3 linked regions of the Bombyx mori genome follow. Each later gene encodes a partner of the first gene's protein in a complex. Links are inferred from orthologs where the notes say so. Each region holds a gene or a part of one and is shown on either strand. Other genes may lie near its edges.

The links. Proteins that work in one complex are often made in the same cells at the same time.
Region 2: mediator of RNA polymerase II transcription subunit 24 (region 1) and mediator of RNA polymerase II transcription subunit 23 share a complex: the UniProt entries of both Drosophila melanogaster proteins name them as parts of the mediator complex. The link is inferred for Bombyx mori from reciprocal best matches to the Drosophila melanogaster genes MED24 and MED23.
Region 3: mediator of RNA polymerase II transcription subunit 24 (region 1) and mediator of RNA polymerase II transcription subunit 9 share a complex: the UniProt entries of both Drosophila melanogaster proteins name them as parts of the mediator complex. The link is inferred for Bombyx mori from reciprocal best matches to the Drosophila melanogaster genes MED24 and MED9.

Annotation. Positions count from the first base shown.
Region 1 is NC_085113.1:5,801,265-5,806,861, reverse strand, and holds the start of mediator of RNA polymerase II transcription subunit 24, read left to right. Parts: upstream 1-2,005; 5' UTR 2,006-2,731; coding exon 2,732-5,597. UniProt on the Drosophila melanogaster protein: Component of the Mediator complex, a coactivator involved in the regulated transcription of nearly all RNA polymerase II-dependent genes.
Region 2 is NC_085107.1:8,842,402-8,846,453, forward strand, and holds the start of mediator of RNA polymerase II transcription subunit 23, read right to left. Parts: upstream 2,801-4,052; 5' UTR 2,120-2,800; coding exon 1,997-2,119; intron 1-1,996. UniProt on the Drosophila melanogaster protein: Component of the Mediator complex, a coactivator involved in the regulated transcription of nearly all RNA polymerase II-dependent genes.
Region 3 is NC_085116.1:15,850,796-15,854,013, reverse strand, and holds mediator of RNA polymerase II transcription subunit 9, read right to left. Parts: upstream 1,765-3,218; 5' UTR 1,488-1,764; coding exon 1,384-1,487; intron 1,301-1,383; coding exon 1,195-1,300; intron 1,005-1,194; coding exon 864-1,004; 3' UTR 501-863; downstream 1-500. UniProt on the Drosophila melanogaster protein: Component of the Mediator complex, a coactivator involved in the regulated transcription of nearly all RNA polymerase II-dependent genes.

The DNA.
Region 1 (5,597 bases):
TAATCTCTATTTTAAAACCGAATAAGCCTCCTTCTGATGCGAACTCGTATAGACCAATAGCCCTCGCATCTGTTCTCGCAAAATTAACAGAACATCTAATAAAAAATCGGTTAGAATGGTTTCTTGAATCTAATGATATTCTTGCTCCGAACCAATACGGCTTTAGGAAAGGTCGGAGCACTATGGATAGTCTTGGAATATTTACAACTGATATTAGATTATCCTTTAGTAATAATGAATCAACACTTGCAGCATTTTTAGATATACATGCTGCTTACGATAACGTCGATCTTCACATATTAAAGCTAAAACTCCTTAAGCTCAATGTTCCCTTTTTGATTACTAATTTTATTATTAATTACTTGTCTGGTAGAGTAATAACTATGGATACGGGCGATTCAAACCATAAATCTAGAACTTTATGGAAGGGCTTACCCCAGGGATGTGTTATTAGCCCTACTTTGTATAACATTTACACACATGACCTAGATAAAGCAATTCAAATACCTAATGGTGATTCTAATAACGTGTCTATATTACAATATGCAGATGATCTAGTTTTATACGTTTCAGGGCGATCTGTTTTAGAATTAAGTGACTTTTTAAGTCGAGCACTGTCCAAACTTAAATTTTGGCTTGTCTCCAACGCTCTTAATCTTTCTGTTTCAAAAAGTTGCATTGTGTTATTTTCTAGAATGCGGCTTCCTCCTCCTGTTTCCGTATATTTTGATAATGAACTTATTCCATCTGAAAATGAAATAAAATTTTTAGGAGTTATTCTAGACGCCAAATTATCAGGTTTATCACATTGTTATTACGTTATAGCTAGATGCGAACGAGTTTTGAATATTATGAGATGTTTAACTGGAGTCTGGTGGGGTGGACATCCATATAATCTAAAGCTCCTATACAACGCTCTCATACGAAGTATTTTAGATTATGGTACTTACTTTCTTGAACCATGTAATGCAGTCGGACTAAATAAGCTTGATGGCATACAATCAAAAGCTCTCCGTTTAATAACCGGTGCAATGAAATCTAGTCCTATCAATGCTTTACAAGTTGAGTGTGTTGACCCTCCTCTGCGACTCCGTCGTCAATATCTTTGTGACAAGTTTCTGTTCCGTGCTCTACAATTTACCAAGCATCCCCTTCATACCAAATTATCTACTTTATCACATTTAGTTTCATCTTCCCCCTACTGGAGGCACAAGTCTCTACCTTGTTTAGTCGTGAGTTTTCGTAAATTTTCCTCTTTGCTTGCCCCCACTCACATGTCTCATCGTCTCTCTATTTTTTCTGCTGAATATGAAGCATTAACTCTTGTTCCTAAAATTCATTTTACCTTAGATATATCTCGATCTATTTTTTCTGCCAATATCGATTTTAATATCATCTTAGATAGAGAGTGGTCAGATCGACATTACATTTATAGCGATGCATCTAAAAATTCTTCCTCTGGTCTCGTTGGTGTTGGAGTTTATCATCAACAATCAAAAATTGTCCAAAAAATTAAACTTCCACCAGAAAGCTCTGTTTTTACTGGGGAATGCTACGGATTATTTAAAGCTATAGAATATGTTAATTTGATGAAATTACATAAATCTGTTATTTTTTCTGATTCCAAAAGTGCGCTTCAGGCACTTCAGAAATTTCCTTTCAAATCTTGCGCCAATTACCCTGTTATTGTAGATTGTAGAAAATTACTGTGGGAATGTAATTTAAAAGGTTTCGATGTAATTTTTGCCTGGATTCCTAGTCACGTGGGTATTTCTGGCAATGAATTTGCTGATAAACTTGCCAATGATGCTGTGGATTGTGGAGATATTTATCCATACAAAATCTTCATAAATGATCTTTTGTGTCTTCCGAATTCAGACCTGCGCGAATCTTGGGGACAAACATGGGCTATTTCTAGTCAATATAAAGGAAAGAATTATGCCCAAATACAATCTGTCATTCCTACCAAGCCTTGGTTTTACAATTTTAGATTTAATAAGATCACGACTACTATCATAATCCGGATGAGACTGGGTCATGCTTGCACTCCATCTCATTTGACTAGATTGGGTATAGTCAATAACAATATGTGTGATTGCGGCGCTGATGTTGGCAATTTAAATCATATTTTTTTCGCGTGCTCCTTAAATGACTGTTCCTCATTTATTGATTTATTAACATCCCTTGGTATTCCACTCCCGACTTCTATTAATACTTTGCTGTGTACTATGAACTATGATATTTATTTATGTATTTCAAATTTTATCCTGAAACATAATATCAAATTGTAATTATGTATATAAATACCTACCTGATCCATTCTTTTTAATTATCCGTTTTTTCCTTTTTCTCCTGTTTCCCTACCTTTACCCTTGTATGTGGCTAAATGCACAAACAGTGCAAGCTAAAAAAGAAAAAAAAAAAAAAAAAAAAAAAAAAAAAAAAAAAATGTCTATTTTGTGATTGGGCTATTATTATTCAAGTTTGATCATATAAAGTAATGTTTATTCTCAAATGCTCGCTATAAATAAAATATCTTTAAAAATGTGATAAACTTAATATGCCACACAAATATAACGAATTAATTTCAATATTCAACAGTGAACAAGAAAATGTAATTTGTAACCTCAAAGACTAGTAGTAAAGTGTTGTTTAAACGACTAATATCACGTCAAAAATGTGTGAAATGTAAGAAAGAAACATTATTGTGCTCTAATAAAATACAATAAAAATGGATGCTTCCAAAATAACGAGTAAAACTAGTTCACTAAAAGCTTTAATTTTAAAAGCTTGGAAAGAACGATGGACTGATATTCAATGGGGCATCAACATCAAAACTATACTGCCGAGGGGCGTCAGTGGTGACCTATATAATCTGGCTGATTGTATTCTTCAACAAGCCATGGTAGGCTGTGGGGCCAATCAGTTAGTGATATCGTATTTGAAACATTCACTTGCGTGTCATTTGGTCTCTTTCGCGGCTGTGTTACAACGAATCGCAAAATTTGATGCTTTTCACAAACCTCATTGTATAATAAGCTTGTTGGAGTTCCTTGAAACCTTTTTGGAGAGTATTACATGCAGAGGCAAGTTAGAAGAAGAAGTTTTAGCTTATGCTGTATCATCTATAATATTGTGGCTTTTACAAGTATTTCACTATTCATTAACCAAGTATCCAGCTTCAAGTTCTGTTCAAAGTCAGGAATTATTGGAGAAATCATCAGTTTTACTGAACTCTATTGTTAATACAGATTTTCTGATTGCAATGTTCTATTTGGCCAAGCAGAATGATCCTGATGAGTATAACGAAGTGACAAAGAAATGTCAAGAGATAACAGCATTTATGATGATGAACACTCAATTCAAACCTCCGATGACCATACATGTCACTTTACACAAAATCTGCAATATGGAATTGGATAAAATAGCACCCTTAAACAATAAACCAGAAGCTGTAACCTATTGTCTGCAGGCTTTAATAGCTATAAATGTGTTCTCAAACCCTAGTGCAGGCATGCAACAGATCTCCAGCCAACTACTAATGGTTCAGAAAATAAAAGGCTATTCATTGTCACGTCTCTACTGTGAACTTATTAGAGCTTGTTTCATTTCACTAAATGATTCTAGTAATGATGCATCGAAGCAATCATTGTGGGCTGCATTCACTTTTCTAAAAGTTCCACAAGTGATAAATCACCTCCATAATATGTGTGGGACAACAAATAAGGAAAGTGAATATTCTACTGAGGTTGTGGAAGCTTTTGAAATGTTATTACAATCAGCTCCACTCCTGGATATTGTTGATACGAAGAATTCTTGTAATAGTGTTATTTCACTTATAGAGCCATTAGTTAAACTTAATGTTCTGTCAGATAATACTTTGACATATTTTAAACAAAAACGTGAGACTATTGATCATCCTTTACAAAAATTTGAGCCAATAGGATTACAAGGCTCAGTCCCATTATTTATAACTCGTGTTGAACCTACATTGGCAGAGATTTTAAAAGCATTGAGTGGTGAATTTCACAAAACTCAAGAGTCGCTCTATATCATGCTATGCCAAATAGTTGGTCGAACTACATTGGATACCATCCTGGCCGTTGCAACTGTGGAAGGAAAACTAAAAATGTTTGTGTCAAGACTCATTAAGTTTAATGAATTTGCATTGTTTGCTGCAAGTGAAAAAGGTGCACCACAATCAAAAGTATATATATTTGACATTTCATTTTTGCTTTTATGTTGGATAGTCCAAGATTATGGAGCTGATGTTGTTCTAGAAGAAAATGGTGATTCATTTTTTGAGAAATGGGTAAGGGATTGTATGGTACATAAAGGAAATTATAAATCTTCAGATCAGATACTTCAGAAATGTGATCATGTTGTTGATGTTATCATTCACCATTTGAGTGCTCCTGACTTTGATTTCAAAAATACTAATGTCAAACCTCATGATCTTTGTATGAATATCACTGGTGCAGTCAAAGAGGTTCTTTTTGCTTGGGAACAAGGTCTACTTTCGGCAACAGATGTTAAAAGAATGTTGGATTCTATAAGACAAAAAATGGCTTCCTTGGCAGTGTGTGCATCAGTATGGCTTTGTTCATACATCAATGTTGTCCATCAAGATGCATCAATAAAACCCATGAATATGGTTCAGCAATTTTTAACATCACCTACTGAATTAGAATTAACTCAAATAGACAATTTTCAAGAAAGAGCAATTTTGATGTGTCAGATAATAAGAAAATTACTGTTTAAAATTCATCCTACCTCAATGCCAAAATCAAAAGAGCAGCAGTTGCCATACAGTATCACCTCTCGCAAGCCAATATTAGAGCAACTACAAAGCATTTGGGAAAATATAAAGTCTAGAGGATACCTTCATATTGATGCTACCCATCTCGTTGAGAATCTTTTGAACACAACTGGCCCAATATGGTTTGTGACGAACTTAGTGAAAGAGACATTAAAATTTCGGTACCAAGTAGATCTCGATAGATCTGTTGATATTGTGTTGGCGATGTTCCATTTGGACATAGAAAAGTGCACAGGAGCACTTTTATTACATGTTCTACCACAATACCTGTATAATTCTAAGTTGTCTGAAGAGCTAGTTGAACCCCAGTCTTCTGTATTAGCCAAGCTAGCAGTGTATTGCATATATGCTGCCTTAGATTACAGCAACACTAAAAAGTCGCATTTTTCGAGGAAGCGTCGTCATGACGAAGTTGAGGATTTGGATGCGATGTCGTCTAGTAAAATGCGGAAACTCAACGACAATACATCCGATGGAAGTGGTGTTTATTATTGTAAGGGACAAGGATATGAAATATCATTAAAAGAACCATTGTTGTCAGCTTTAGAAACGCTGTATGCGTCCTTTTCACAACTAGCTGGCAAGGACGGAAATATCACACCCCAAACACATTTTATACTTCAGTTCTTGATTTATGTGGTTCAATGTGGCCAAGATAGGGCCCAGTTAGTATTACAGAAAATGCCTAGTGAACTCGTACCAACTTTAATTAAAGCTCTACCTGACAATTTTAACATTGGTCTGATTTTACGCTTATATAATTTGAATACTGCTTACG
Region 2 (4,052 bases), on another chromosome or scaffold:
AGAAGCAGGAACATTAGAGGGGCTTGTATCTGAGATGGTAGTAGAACACATGTGTCCCAAATCACCAAGTCACATACAGCTGATATTGATCTTAAACCCCTTTTCCAATTTCATTATATGGAAGTGTCTTATTTTTTCCACTGTTATTCTATAAATTCACAACTCGAGTGATTATGTATGTTAATATGTAATGTAACATAATTAAAATATCTATAAAGGCTATTTTCACTAAGGACACAACAATGGAGAAATGAGCGCTTTAGTTACTGTAATTAATTTCCATTTGTCTCTTGAGCATATAGGAGAACTTTAATTGTTGCCAATCTCTAATAATGTAGGGGACACAGTATGGGAAGATATTATAATGCCCAGATGCAAATTTCTTAATCACACTTCTAAAATAATTGAAAATTGTTGGTAAATGAAAGGACCCAAAATTGACTTAAATTATGACCAGTAATTTTAATGTTTGAATTTGATAACAGTAAGAATGAAAATAGGTAATTTATTTATGTATTTATATAATCTATTTATGTGTTTGGTAAATTTATCTATTTATGTATTTATAATAGTTACTTAATACTGTTTGTAAAATATTGTTACATTTTTTATTGATTTACAGTTTTTATCAGTAAAAAGCTGCAAGTTTTGAGACAAGACAAGTACTGTTTAAATAAACGTGCAGATAACTGTAAACAATATATATAAAAATAAGTTAGATAATTTTTGTTACCAATTAAGGAAACAACAAATATATTTAAATTTTTTTACTGCTGAATTAAAATAATTGACCTTTTTAAATTTATGTTATTTCATGAAGGTTAACAAGGATGATCACTAATTTAGAATTGTTTACATTTTTCAGTACTTTTATGAAAACTGTATACAACACTTACATAACACAAACATATACATCAATTATAAGCACATAAAATATTTCAAGAACATCAGAGGTTTCAAGAATATACAAAATTTGCAAAAACGAAAATGTGTTCATAATGCAAATTATGCTTAAATATTAAATAAGACTAAAAATTCTAAACTGAGTAATTTAAAAAAGCTATTTTAATATTCTCATTCATTGTTTTTTTATTGTAAGAAGTTTGTAAAAGATTTTCAAACAGCATTTTAAATATTATTTCAATATACTGAATGTACTATTAATATGTTTTATTTAATATTGCTGCCAATTCACAGTTTGGTGTTCTGACACTGCAAATTTTATTTATCAATAGTTTTATACTTTAAGATGTCTTAGTTGATTAAAAAACAAGGTTTCTAGTTTAATCCCTTTACAAATTTTATCATTTGCTACAGTGCTATGTACAATTTACATTCTGTGATAAATCTAGCCCATCGGTCAAAGTTTAATTCAGAATAAAACAAATATTTGAGATATTAATTTATCTTAAAAACTGAAACAAATGCATAAGGTTAACTTGGCAACAGTAAAATAGAGTTGACAATTCCATAGTTTTAATGAAATTTGAAATATTCTGTTATTTTCATAACATAATTGCTTTTTTATTCATTTGATACTTAGTCCTTACGTTCCATGTTAGACTAAATTTATTACACATTGTAAACACGCTAGATGCTTTAAACCTAAACATAAATGAAGCAATCAACCTTCACATCAAGCCAGCTACATACAATAAGCACGTGGACACAAATATTAATAAACGCAGAACAGTACATATTCAGCGCGTAATGAATGAGATGAAATTAATTTTTATTCATAAAACCTCTGATCTCGAAGTACAACTTACCATCAGCTCATGAGTCCATGTTTGCAACTAAGAAACAAGTTCGATTATTTGTAGGTTTTATTCATGAAAAACAAACAATAGTAAACAACATTTTGTTCATAATTAATGTAGATGATCATGTGAGTAATTTTTTTGTCAGTACCTATTATTTTCACAGATGCAGGGCACAGTAGAACGTTTACCTTTATATTTACCAATATATTATTAACCAAGAAAAATATATTTACCAATATTTCATTCACTATGTTGGCGACTTGCGAATCGGCCATTTCCGTGATTATATTTTCCTCGAACATGCGCTTGGATTGACGGTCACCTTTATACAAAAAACTAGCTAAGCACTGGAGCATCCAAACTACGCTTTCAACAAAACACCGAAAGGTTACAAAGTTATCGGTACATGTCTTTCAGAATAATAATTATGTATAAGATCTTTGACGGAAGAAGTTAACTCAAGAAAGAAATTTTAATTACAAATGCAGCTGTTAGGAATTATGTTCTTCTTAAATTTACATGCCAACGTTAACAAGTAAAAACTGGGATACTTAAACCATCACTACGCGAAATTTAATAAATGACTAAATGCATTGAATAATCTATGCTAAATGTGGACACTGGACAATAAAGGACTTTTTGGCGGGAACGCGAGGAGTGAAGTTGTGTGATTTGTTTTATTTTGTCTATTTAGTGTTTCTTCAGGTTTAAATGTGTAATAACGGTGGTTTATTAACTGTTTAATATCTGTGAAAGTGCACAAATGTGGGAAAATGAAACAAAGCTGCTGGACGTAACTTCTCGGGTTCCTCCAAAAAGTCCACTGAAAAAATCTCAGTAAATGACCACCATTTTACTGCGATTATATTTCATCCCATATCATCTCATTTCATTTAATTTCATCCCAGTTGATTAATGTTTCAAATTAATCATCTTCATTTCATTTCACTCCATATTATCATTTTTCATAAAATTAAGAATATAAGACATGACTTAAAGGTCTTAGTTACCAGGTCATAAAATCTCTTAAAAAAAAAAAAAATGGACAATAAAGTTTGAAATGGACTTTTTGGCGGGAACGCGAGGAGTGAAGTTGTGTCATTTGTTTTATTTTGTCTATTTAGTGTTTCTTCGGGTTTAAATATGTAATAATGGTGGTTTATTAACTGTTTAATATCTATGAAAGTGCACAAATGTGGGAAAATGAAACAAAGCCGCTGGACGTTACTTCTTGGGATCATCTAAAAAGTCCACTGAAAAAATCTCAGTAAATTAGCACCATTTTACTGAGATTATATTTCATCCCATATCATCTCATCTCACTTCATTTGATTTCATCCAAGTTGATTCATGTCTCAAACAAATAATCTTCATTTCATTTCATTATTTTTCATAAAAATAAGAATTCAAAAAAAAAATTAAAATAAGACATGACTTAAAAGTCTTAGTCACCGGGTCATAAAATCCCTTAAAAAAAAGTTTGAACTTTACTCTTTGTATAAAATAATTCCCGGTTTACACTATTCCAGTCCAGTGATCGAATCCAGCACTGGATTGCTTACTGGAAAAATGTAAACTGGCACTGGATGCACTGAATCCAGTTAGCATTCCAGTCCAGTAACTGGATTGGCGGTCTACTTTTGAATTCAGTGCGACCAATCCAGTGCACCTGGATCCAGTGCCATTCCAGTGCTGACACAGTAAGCACGTGTTGGTTGTTTTTGCGGATTACTGGGGCGAATAAATTACTTAAAAATGGTGAAGAAATTATCTGACGATCAAATTTTAAAGCTTCTTATGTTATACGGAGAAAATCCTTGTTTATAGCACATATCATCAGAAGATTATTTAATAAATATATTACACATGTGTCGGTGCAACGTCACTATTTAGTTGACTTAAATAGTTTTCTTTTTCTTTCTTTCTGGCTTTTGTTACTTAGATTTAAATACAACTTTGCCAACGTCGGGTAGTGGAGGTATCAACATAATTTGTTAAGATTTTATGTGGAAGAATAAGCAGACTCGGTTTTTTAATATCACAAATTATATTTTATTCACATGACACAATCTTATTAAGTAGAGAATGTATCCATGGTAACAAGTCAACATTACTAGTGCGGCGACACGCAGCTAGTGCTATATCTCAACATAATTATGCTAAGACCTATTTAGTTTAATTTTTTTTGCATTAAACAGTTAGTAGGAACTACAATTTTATACTATTAGCGTTTATGAAAGATCCAAGCAAGTAGACTACCGTTTTAGTGGGGAAAGTTAATAGGAAGTT
Region 3 (3,218 bases), on another chromosome or scaffold:
AGTGATTGTTGCATAGTACAATTTAGTAGTTTTACTACCAAGGGTAGAACTCCTGTCGTTTTCTGGGGACGTAGTGACACTGATTAATCTAGACAGCCTCAAGCCATACCGCTAATCCACCTGTCACAATGGGTCGGCATATTTTCGCAAGTTAAATCACTAATAACCTCGAGGTTCTTATAACACTAATTAAAACTCAAGTATATATTTTTACAGCACTAAGCTTAATCTTTTAGGGTCACTTAAAATATTTGAACACTTAAAAATAAAAATTAAAGTTAATGAGATCAGAGTTTTGAATCATCATTGCCTTAACTCTGAAAACCTTATAATCGCAATAAAATTAGTGAAGCTAGCTGCTTTCTAAAAGTAAATATATTTTCAATATTTTGACATTTACAATGAATACCATTGCAATATTGTGATTTTTTCTTAGAATTAAGTAAAGTTTATATTTTTATTGATTTGTTCAGAGTGAGTGAAATAAAAATAGCTCTAACTATGTTACAGTTTTTTATTATCTAATTTAGTAGTTATATTATGTAAAGGACACTACTGATAGTGAATTACAATCAACAGCAACTAATCCATGGTTAGCCAAAAACATCCAAGGAACTATTATTATTTTTTCAGTTGTTTTTTTGCATCCTGTACTCCTTCCTTCAAATTTGCACTGAACCTTTTTAAAAACTCTATAAATTTATTAACTTTCTGTGGATCAACATCAGAGAGCTTTTCCTTCCCTCTGTAAAATACTGAGACAGCTAACTGAGCTGCTCTTCGTACAGGGTAGGACTCTGCAATCTTCTGTACAATTCGTTCATTATTGGCTAAGTATTTAAGCAGCGCACGTAGAGGCATCTTCACTTGAATGATGTCTCAAATGAGCACATATTCCGATACTTCTGTAAGAGTTCACGCTTTAATCTCAGCTGAGTGCGGAGCAGTTCAAATTGCTTCAGCTGGTCGTGTTTGTTGAATTCTATACCTGGGAGCCTCCTGATCTGAAATGAGTGATATATTATTGCAGATAATTGTGTACTGGTTGATGATATATTATGGCAGATACTTGTGTATGAGTTCATGATAAATTTGATTCCTCAAAATACAAAAATTATGCTGACTTAGCATATTATTTTTACATTACAAATGTTAAATACCAAGTATGTTTCCAGTATTTGAAAGTAATCTCACCTGAGCTTTAGCTATTTCTAGCCTCTTTTGTAATTCAAGAACTCTATGACTGCACTCGTGGGACTCGCGTATTTTCGACGCGTTGTCGTGAAAATCTCTCTCCACGCTGTAATAAAAACATTTAAAGCACCAGAAAATACAAAATGAACTTGAGCAAATCTAGTTTGTCTCAAATAATACGCAAAATACCTTCGTATTATATCGTATACAATCGGTAAAAAGTCTACATCTACATCCTCAACAGTCAGGGGACTGTAGTTCGTCTGTTCTGAATGATCTGTGTTGTTTTCCATTGTACAAATTTTAAGCACAATTTTTCACTTGCTTATTATGTAACAGATTTTATTATACGTACGTTGTTTATTAATTTATAAATTTATTAGATTATGGTTATTAAACACATAAACCTAGGTACGTAAAAAAGTAGGTAGATTCTTTACCATCACAAAACCGAAAACGACAAAAATAATGATGTGTTATTGTGTTATCTATGGACAGCAATGGACTATGGACGAAATCGCGGAGAATAAGTCGAATGTTTGTGTGATCGGTGTTCGACAAGCAAAGGAAATAAAGCTCATACACGAAATTTTTGGAACGAAGTTCTTTACGGCAGGCTTGGAGGAGATAGGGATTTTGCTGCACGTCCGAACTGAAAAAAATGTGATAGTAAAACCGTAAGAAAAAGTCCGTGGAATAAAACCGTTAAATAAGACGTGCGCAGGCGCGACAGTCATATACACAAGCGAGTAGTGTATAATACCTTTCTCTTTTTATGTATATTCTTAGTACGATGGCTATACAGTGTCTAATGTATAGTCTACGTGATGACGGTTATTATTATAATTCGTATAAATAGCTGTTTCTTTGTATATTATTATTATAATTTTTTATAAATCATTGTGAATAAAATAAAGTTGATAACTTTGTAATGTAATTATTATTATATTTTTATCAATAAAAAATAAAATAATAAAAATGTATACCTGAATAATTATTTTCTTTAGACCTCGAATAGAACTTGAAATTAATATTTTTATAATAAGGAACTTCGTTCCTATCCGGTGTCCCACGACACCACACATCTTTTTTTTACAAAGGCTGTAGTAATGTCTGTTAAAGAAAAGTAAAATAAAATGAAAAAAATGTTTGAAATAAAATGAATTTGAATGAAATTATATGACCATCGGTGTTTTATGGGACGAAATAAATTAATCAGTCTGAACAATAGTGAGAGTTTACTCGTCACTTAACTTTTTAGAAACGCTTGAAAAACCAAGTTCAACAACTTGGTTCCATTTTCTTAATCTTATCCACTTTCACGAATACGAAACCGTTGCTATTTATTAAACTTGTAGAAACACTGGATTAAGAAAATAGCACAACTCAGACAAGTTATCTTCTCCTATTTCTGCCAAGATTTTGGAATCGACTAAGAAAATAGAAATTTTTTAAACTACTTACCTATCATTATATTCTGCATAAATTTTAGGCCCGACTCTACGAAAGTTTTAAAATTCTACTAAGTTTATTCACGCTGAAGGTAATTGTTTTTACTCAACTAATTATAATATGTGCTTAGTGATTTTAATTAATTAAAAATATATCAATCAGAGGTGCTACGGTAATAAAATACCCCATTCTTTCTAAATCAAGAAGCTCTGTAGTGATACGTTTTAGTATTGAAATCGCATCAGATTTTAAGAACGCCAAATGGCACTTCGAAACATCAGTAGCAGGCTCTATCCGAATCATTTTCTATGGTTCGTACGTATATTAAAATATGAGTTAAGAGTGTGTTGCTGTGTGTTATTTTGTTTCTGACAGGGTATACGAGGAACGAAGTTTTTTTATTTTTTTATTTTTCTATTTAGTGTTTATTCAGGATTAAATGTGTAACTTAACAATAACGGTGGTTTATTAATAATTTAATATCTGTGAAAGTGCACCAATGTGGGAAAATGAAATAAAGCTGCTGGACGTTGCTTCTCGGGATCGTCTAAAAAGTTTACTGAAAAAGTTTC